Linked DNA regions of Drosophila melanogaster. The protein of the gene in region 1 interacts with the protein of each later gene in a biochemical or structural test. Each region holds a gene or a part of one and is shown on either strand. Other genes may lie near its edges. The genes, in order: Sema2b and PlexB.

Region 1 (3,931 bases):
CTAGTCTGCCATTGATTGGCAGCTGTCTCACATGACCCCCAATCCCCTAATCCAGAAGACCATGCCCCCCTTTTGTGCCACCAGCTGAGTGTCAAAGGCGCTTAAATGCTTTGAGCCTGCCGCCTGCCCCGCTCACTTCTTTGGCCAACGAGCCACTTTCTTCTTTTTGGCCAGGTTCTTTGGCCACTTTTTTCGGCTCTGGCCAATCTTCTCAGGTTCCATTGTACGCCGCGAAACGAGCTGAAACGCTTTTTTTGCCCCCTGCATTTAATACCCTAACTGACTGCGGCAGAAATTCCATCGCGTTTTTCATCCCTTTGTGAAATAATTAATGCCCCTGTTTTAAGCGAGGAATTAAAAAAATTTGGATCGTATCACACTCTTTAAAAAAGCGCCACTTTATATGCAATTACAAAATAAATAAAAAAAAGAGTGCTGAATGTTTAATTGAGACACTAAAATATTATGAAAATAAGTCTGTAAGTTTTTTAATGACCCCGTGCCGAATACTTAGTAAATTGTCTGTATATAAATACAACTTTACCTATCATATTAAAATATATTAAATATATAAAAACATAAAGAACAACAGTGACAACCAAATAGAATGAAATATACTTTTGAAAAGCTGAACATAACGATTTTTTTGTAGTATTTCCAGATATTTTGGTTTTAAAAAGTTAGAGCATCCAACTGGCGACTTGGCTGCACTTTTTCTTGACCCTATGCTGCAGTTCTGCGCTCATAATCACCAAAAAACAGACGGAGGGTCGGAGTGCTTTTGAAGTTCTTTCTGTTCGCATTGTTGCATGGCTCTTGGGCAACCGAAGGGGGGTATGCAGAGGCGTGGCAAACGGGGCATGGTGGGTCACGGAGGGGGCGGAGGGGCAAGGGCATGCGAAACAACCTCGACATGCGATGCAATCGCCAGCACTTTTTTCAACCAGCTTTTGTGTCTTGGTGGCGTTTTTTCTCAATTTTTTCTTTTTTTTTTGTTAGCCGCGAGTCGCAAATCGCAAATCGCTTGCTGCAAGTTGCGACCAGGTGGCTACTGTTACGGCCAAGATATTGCACACTTTGCTCGGAACGAAAAAAAAAGGCGAGAGAATTGCGCTTAGAGCTGTTCTAAGTGGCAATAACAATTTGGCCGTTTGCATTCGCAATTTATGTGCTGAATGGGCCAACTTGGCTGGCTGCACAAATGCAAATGGCAAACTGATGGCCAAAAATAACTCCTTTGTCTTCCTCACGCTGCACTCCGCACTCCGCCATCCGCACTCTTTTCTGCAGTCAGAGGCACGAAAGAGAACGGGTTGCAAACAAGTTGGGATCAACTGGTCAGCGCGGGTAATGCAAAGTGAAACACGCTTGGCAGGTAGCGCTCAGCTCAGGTGGGATTCTGATTGGATTCGGGGATTGGAGAGCGTTGCACAGTCGTTTGGGGATCGAGATTTGTATATTCACCTCACTGCTGCTGAGTTATGTTGCACACTTGTCACTGAAACTGAAACCTGTGTTTTTCATATATATTTCGCATTTATTATTCTTGTTTGTTGCGTGGGCACTGCTAGCGAGTTGCACGAGTTTTCTTTAGCTGGGTTTCGGTTTCTGACTGCGCTTTTCCGATTTCCCACTTTCCCGCTTAACATCCGCACACGATGACCGTTCGAGTCGCGATTTCAAGACAAACTGAACAATCCGTCGTTGTTGCTTCGCCGCCGCCGAAGTTTTCGCACCACACACACTCGTATCTTCGTAACTTCGGCTTTTTGGGGGAATTCGGCTTCGCTCTCATTCGTTTGGCAGTCGCTGAAGTTCGTCGAAAACGAGTTTCGAGCTGGCAATGCCGTGTCAACTGTTACTGGGAACACTTCTCAGCACCTACCGGCATTTTTAACAGTTTGTTTTGCTGTTGAGCCTACAGACTTGCACTGTGGGAACAGTCTAAAAAATGTTAACATTGTCCCTGAAAAATTTTTGGTTTCAAGATGAATTCATTTGTAATAATATATATTTTTATGTACTTTATGTACAAAAATCTAATGAAAATCGTATACAAATTTTCTTTATGTTCTCTTTTTGTGTATTTTATAATGTTAAATTTTAATTTATTTCAAAATAATGTTATCTGATGTTTTAGACTTTATTTAATTTACTATTGTTTCTATGTTTGTAAAGTGTTAAGAACTTCTTTATCTACCCTAATACTTCAAGTATTGATTTAAATCAAATTTTAGGAATTGGAACTAAAACATTGAATTTAAAAGTTTAATTTTTTCTTAGCAGTTTTTATTTGAAATATATATATATTACGAACGTTGTGCTTAAAACGCATTTCATGTACACGGACAATTTCGAGTCAAAATCCAAATTGCAAATCCACAAGGAAAAATGACAACTGCCGCACAATCTCAATTAGCCCAGGTTAGTAATTGATGTGGTCAGCTGCAAGAGTCCTTTCTCCAACACCTTCTTTGGCGATTATAGAACTTTCACTTAATTGCCATAAATTGGAAGTGCCAATACGTGTTGCATTAAACTTTCAGATCCATTCGTTGAGCGGCCAATCAAGTGATTGACCACAGATTGTGCGGAGGTGGCGGCGACGAAGGGGATAGTAAAATCATTTGGAATTAGGGCATGTGGAATAATTTATGCTCGAATTAATAATGGCACGTAGCCAATCATTTGAATGCGATTTAATTAATTTCCCATGCCGACATTCACCTGAAACTGGTCTCCGTTCCGTATCGTTCCGTCGTAATGACAGGGACAGGCCAGGCCAGGCCAGGACTTAAGCCACTCGTTGGCCGAGATGGATATGCACTACTTACGCCCGCTTGTATATCAATAAAATCAAATAAATATATCGTTTGAGTCCAGGGCCATCCACCTGAGATCCGCACGCATATAAATAACCAATGATGCGGCATTTATCTGCCCGCCACTCCCACTCCTGCTTCAACTCCTCGTATTCCACTGCTGGCCATCAGTCTCGGCTTACGTTCCATTTAAAATGGTTTTCGGTCCGTCGTGGGGGCCATTGAAACTAAAGACGAAGAAATTGTTCTTTCAGTGCACAGGAAAAAATCCGAGGCACTGCAAAACATAACAAAATATATCTATACCTTGTAAGCAAGTTCTTTTGAAACAACAAATATCCTACAATAACTTACTTTGATTTTGTAATTCAACTTTCCTTTACGGTCTAATAAGAATAAGGATTTGTATTTATTTTTCTCAGTGTTTCGCCGCCATTGTTCTGCGGGAGCTGGCAGGACTCCTCCAGAGCCGAACTTGGGGCTAAAAGGGATAAACGTTTTTAGCATGGCCTGCACGATTTTTATGCAAGGAACGTGTTGTTGCTGCCCCAGCCCCTTTTGGCTCAGAGGCTCTTGGCCATGTCCGTGCGACTGTTTCGCGTCATTTGCTCTCTGCTGGATCGTAATTTTATGGCTGCCAGCAGCTTCTTGGGTCTCCAATTGCCAGGGTGGCCAAGTGATGGCATAGCAGGCAGTCAAAGCAAACGGAAGTAAACTGAAGCCAAAAATTCTCGTTTTTATTTGACGAAGCGTTCAGTTCACAGAGCATTCCTCCAGAAGTTGTCAAAACAAAGCGAGCGAAACTAACAATAAGTGAGTGGAGAGGCAGACAACTACGGCTGGCAAAGATGGAGTCGGTTTGGGCCAAGGTGGGTTTTGGGCTAACAATGGCCCAACTGCATCACCTGGCATCGGACCAAACGGCAGGCGGAGCAGGCGAGAATATCGCTTACCAACTCGTTTGGCAATTTTTCTCAATTTTCACATTGAAAACTAAGCGCCGGAGGAACGATAGAGCCGCCCCTCAATAGTATCATCCATCCCTAGCCAAACCCTTTTAAACACATACAACACACACTTTTCGACTTCATATTTGGGCTTCCAATTTG
Region 2 (3,931 bases), on another chromosome or scaffold:
ATGATCCATTTTTATTATTTAAAATGCACATTAGATTCAGTTGTTTAGTTTCAGTTTTTTTTTTGTTATATTCCAATTTGATATTCCTAAAAAAGAGCGCAATTTCATCATATTGCTACGAAATTGGCCAAAACTTACCAAATATGTAAATTCGTTTATTCGATCAGAATTGATTTCAGGAACAGTAAAAATTGTTAACTGATTCGTTGAAAAGTATTTTAAAGACGATTCGCATCGCATGATTGAAGTAATATTATGCCCAAAACTGCCCGCCCATATTTTTGCAAACATTTTAGAATATTTTTTTTAATTTTATTAGTTGCTTAAACTTTTTGCCACGCCTACTCTAACTCCCTAAAGCCGCCAAACCGGTCACGCCCACACTATTGAACATTTTTCAAATTGTTTCTTCTTTTATTCCCCAATATCTATCGATATCCCAGAAAAATGATGAAATTTCGATTTCGAGTTCGCATTCACACTAGCTGAGTATCGGAGATCTTGACTATAGCATATTATCTTGTTTTATTTTAATACTTTAACGTTAATACTACCCAAATTGTTTCAAGAGTTCAACTATAGATTTTTTAATTTATAACATTTTAAAATCCTGTTTTGTTTATCATCATATTCCTTCCGCACTTTTGAATAATTACTTATATTCGCCGCTTTTTTATGTGGAGCTCAAAAACACTGCGACATTGTTCTACGATGACTACAAAAAATGACCAATAACTTCTATAAACCAATACGATATGTCAGGAGTTTCGGTCCCATACGAAGTCGCCGACTTAAGTATTTTATTTTTATTTTGATATGTGTTTGCTATTTTACCTTGTCGAATGCTTCCACACGCTATGAGAATACCATCGTGAGCGTAGCTTACTACTAGAATTTTGTTGAAGTTATTGACAAGCGATGTCTCAATATCTTCCGGACAGCCTCCAGCGTGACATTGCGGGGAATCATGTAACGGCCCAGTAACAGCCTCGGCCAGCACTCGAAGGTTTTCGTTAAGTTTAAGTATTTTATTTGTAGCACCCGCAAACAAAACATTGTGCATAAAGTCGAAGCTCATGTGAGTAAAATAATTTTTAGATTGAGAGTCTCTAACACTTTCTATATTGTTTCCAATTGATCGATTGCCATAGCTGGAAGCTGTTGATTGAACTGGTATTGATGGCAAGTTAAACTGGGCGACTATGTCATTTAAGGGAGATAACGCCTGAGCCGGCAGTTCTTCAATGCAGTTAACGCAATAATGCTGAGAACCGAGTATGATAATAATACACAGTACATGTAAAACATGTATAATGTTTGCACAATACAATTCCTTTCGCAACATATTTATTTGTGGTTTTGTGTATGATCAGTTTGTAGTTGAGTTTGGGCATCAATTCCCCATATGTCATTTTTATTATTATTTAGCTCTACATTCTCTCTCCTTAATATATAAACTTTTTAATATCGATTGAATTTAATGCGAATTAATTTTATATGCCGCTGATTCACTGTAGGTGCATAAATATTTTTAAATTAAAATGATCCATTTGGCTATTTTAGGTTTAGCGCATTTTTTATAAGGTTGTTTAACACAAAAAATCGATTAGTCAATGTAAACAAATATTTATTTAAAAAAAACTTCTTAGGCAACGCTCAAACGTTGTGTGTACACTATCAGTCCTAGAGCAGATTATTAGTATCGGCTGTATCAGCCTATCGCATACAAATTGAACTATCGAGCTAGAGGGCATTGTAATGCTGTATTCACAAGGAGCACATTAAAGGGAAGCTTACCATTAAAAACCTCGGAAGTATTTATGTAGATATCGTTTAAATGTTTTCAGTTCTGATTCCACATCCAATCAATTGGCTAATGTTAAAAGAAAAAAGAAAGAAGACACCACCGATGGAGTCTAAAATGTTCCAGGAACATTTTTGTAAAATAATATCAATGAAATGGTAGTCGCGTTAAAAAGAGCAATCTCCAAAGAATCTAAATTGATCTCATCTTCTTCCATGCAACACTTGCCGTGCGCGCTATTTTTATCTTAATATTGTTTTTGATTCGAGTGTTACAGACCCACCTATCTCTACACAAAGTTTTGAACAACATTGATTTATGTGGCACGATGGCTAAAATTTTATAAAATTATTTTAAAATCATAACATGTTTAATGTTAAATTATTTCATTAAGGGTTTCTCATGGCATGGAGGCTTCAACGCCACGTAGTGTTTGGGACTATTTATGTATATACTTATACTAATTTTACTTATGTACCTTTTTTACTATTAAAATTATATAAATTTAAAAAATTTGATTATTATTATTCAACAATTTTTGGAAAATTTGTCCAACGAATGGCTATTTTGCTAATCAATTGTCTTATTAATAATTTATTGAATTTCTCTACAACTGTAAATTAAGACCAACCGTCATTAAGACCTGTAAATTATTAACACTTAGTTAAATAAGTATCACTAAATAGATTATATCGGTGGGTTTTAAATTTTGACTGAATTGAAGATTCGATTTTTATATATTCTCAGAGAGATTTCTGATCCTGTCATACGTACATATGTATATACAATTTCATTTATTCTCCGAATATATAAGTTAAATTAGGGAACCACTACAGATATTGAAGTTTTATTTGTGGATTTTTTTCAACACTTAGCATTGGATATTGACCCCTATAAAAATGCTTCATCAATCCATTTGTGTAGTCACTTTGCAAGGGTGTACTTCGGTTAACCGACTATATTTCAAAGCGATAGTTAATGAAACTTATGCTGCTATCACATTATTTACTGTGAAAATTCTTTGTGAACTGAAGAGCAATCGGGAACATCGATCTTGACAACGCCGAATTCGTTTTGGTATAACACAGGATCTTTAGTTTATACTTGGTTGGCATCACATCGAAACTTAGCACGGGAAACCATGGTTAATCGACAATATTTGCGCTGTGCAACATGTACAAGTACATAAATAGAACTGTTTACACATAACAACAATGTATCAAAAATCCGTTAACAGCCGACGTGAACACTCGAAACATAACCAGACCTGCCGCAGAAAATGCTGCGATAAGAGATGCTAAAGAGATAAACCATCTCTTACCAAAAAGTTAGATTAGATTGACCAAAGAGGTTAATGTGTACACTTAAACTGTCTATAATCTTTACAACACATATAATGACAAACATGGATATTTTTCAACTCAATAAGAGAATAATTTATTAGGAATTTGGAATATCAAACGGCACAATGATACGCAGCTCTTACTTACTTACTTTTTATTAATTTTAATTTTCTTTTTACAAAAAAAAAAATGTATGCTTGGAGCAAATTATTAGGAATTATATAAGTATAATATTATTATTATAATAGTGTTATTCCCAGCTAAGAACAAATCGCTTGTCATCGGGAAAACGTTTTTGATTTTATAAATTAGTTTCCACCTTTCCAGTTTTGTTGGTTTGCACTCACAACTCACAATGACGCAAATGATTGCTTATTCTGTATTTTTTTATTCTAGTAGGAAAAAATCTACATTGGCAACGCTGCTGCCGTGAAGCTAAGAATGCAGTATTAAAAAGCGAAACAAAATAATATCAATAAAAAGGTTAATGGTAAACTTAGGAACTTCCAGCTCTTAAACCGCGCAAATATTTTCCTTTATGTGATAATTAAGCAAGGTCATGTAGAATCTATTGATAAATTTCTGATTACAAAAAAATATTTAAATATTCGTTGGTTTTAAAAATTGGAAGCAATTGACCCCAACAAATGCTAAGCACGAGCTCTTGTGACATTGTCTACTCCGAAAAAGGAATGGTAATCTTTTAATTTTTTGATCCTCTTCATTGTAATTAAAAATACGTCTCATTATGTAACACAGTTTTGGATTAAAAATCGAGCACACT

What was found.
Region 2: the proteins of Sema2b (region 1) and PlexB form a complex in vitro, tested with the Drosophila melanogaster proteins (one study listed by BioGRID).

What each region holds. Positions count from the first base shown.
Region 1 is NT_033778.4:16,384,284-16,388,214, reverse strand, and holds the start of Sema2b (semaphorin 2b), read right to left. Parts: upstream 1,692-3,931; 5' UTR 1,465-1,691; intron 1-1,464.
Region 2 is NC_004353.4:42,080-46,010, forward strand, and holds the start of PlexB (plexin B), read right to left. Parts: upstream 1,700-3,931; 5' UTR 1,346-1,699; coding exon 835-1,345; exon of another isoform or gene 695-834; intron 1-694.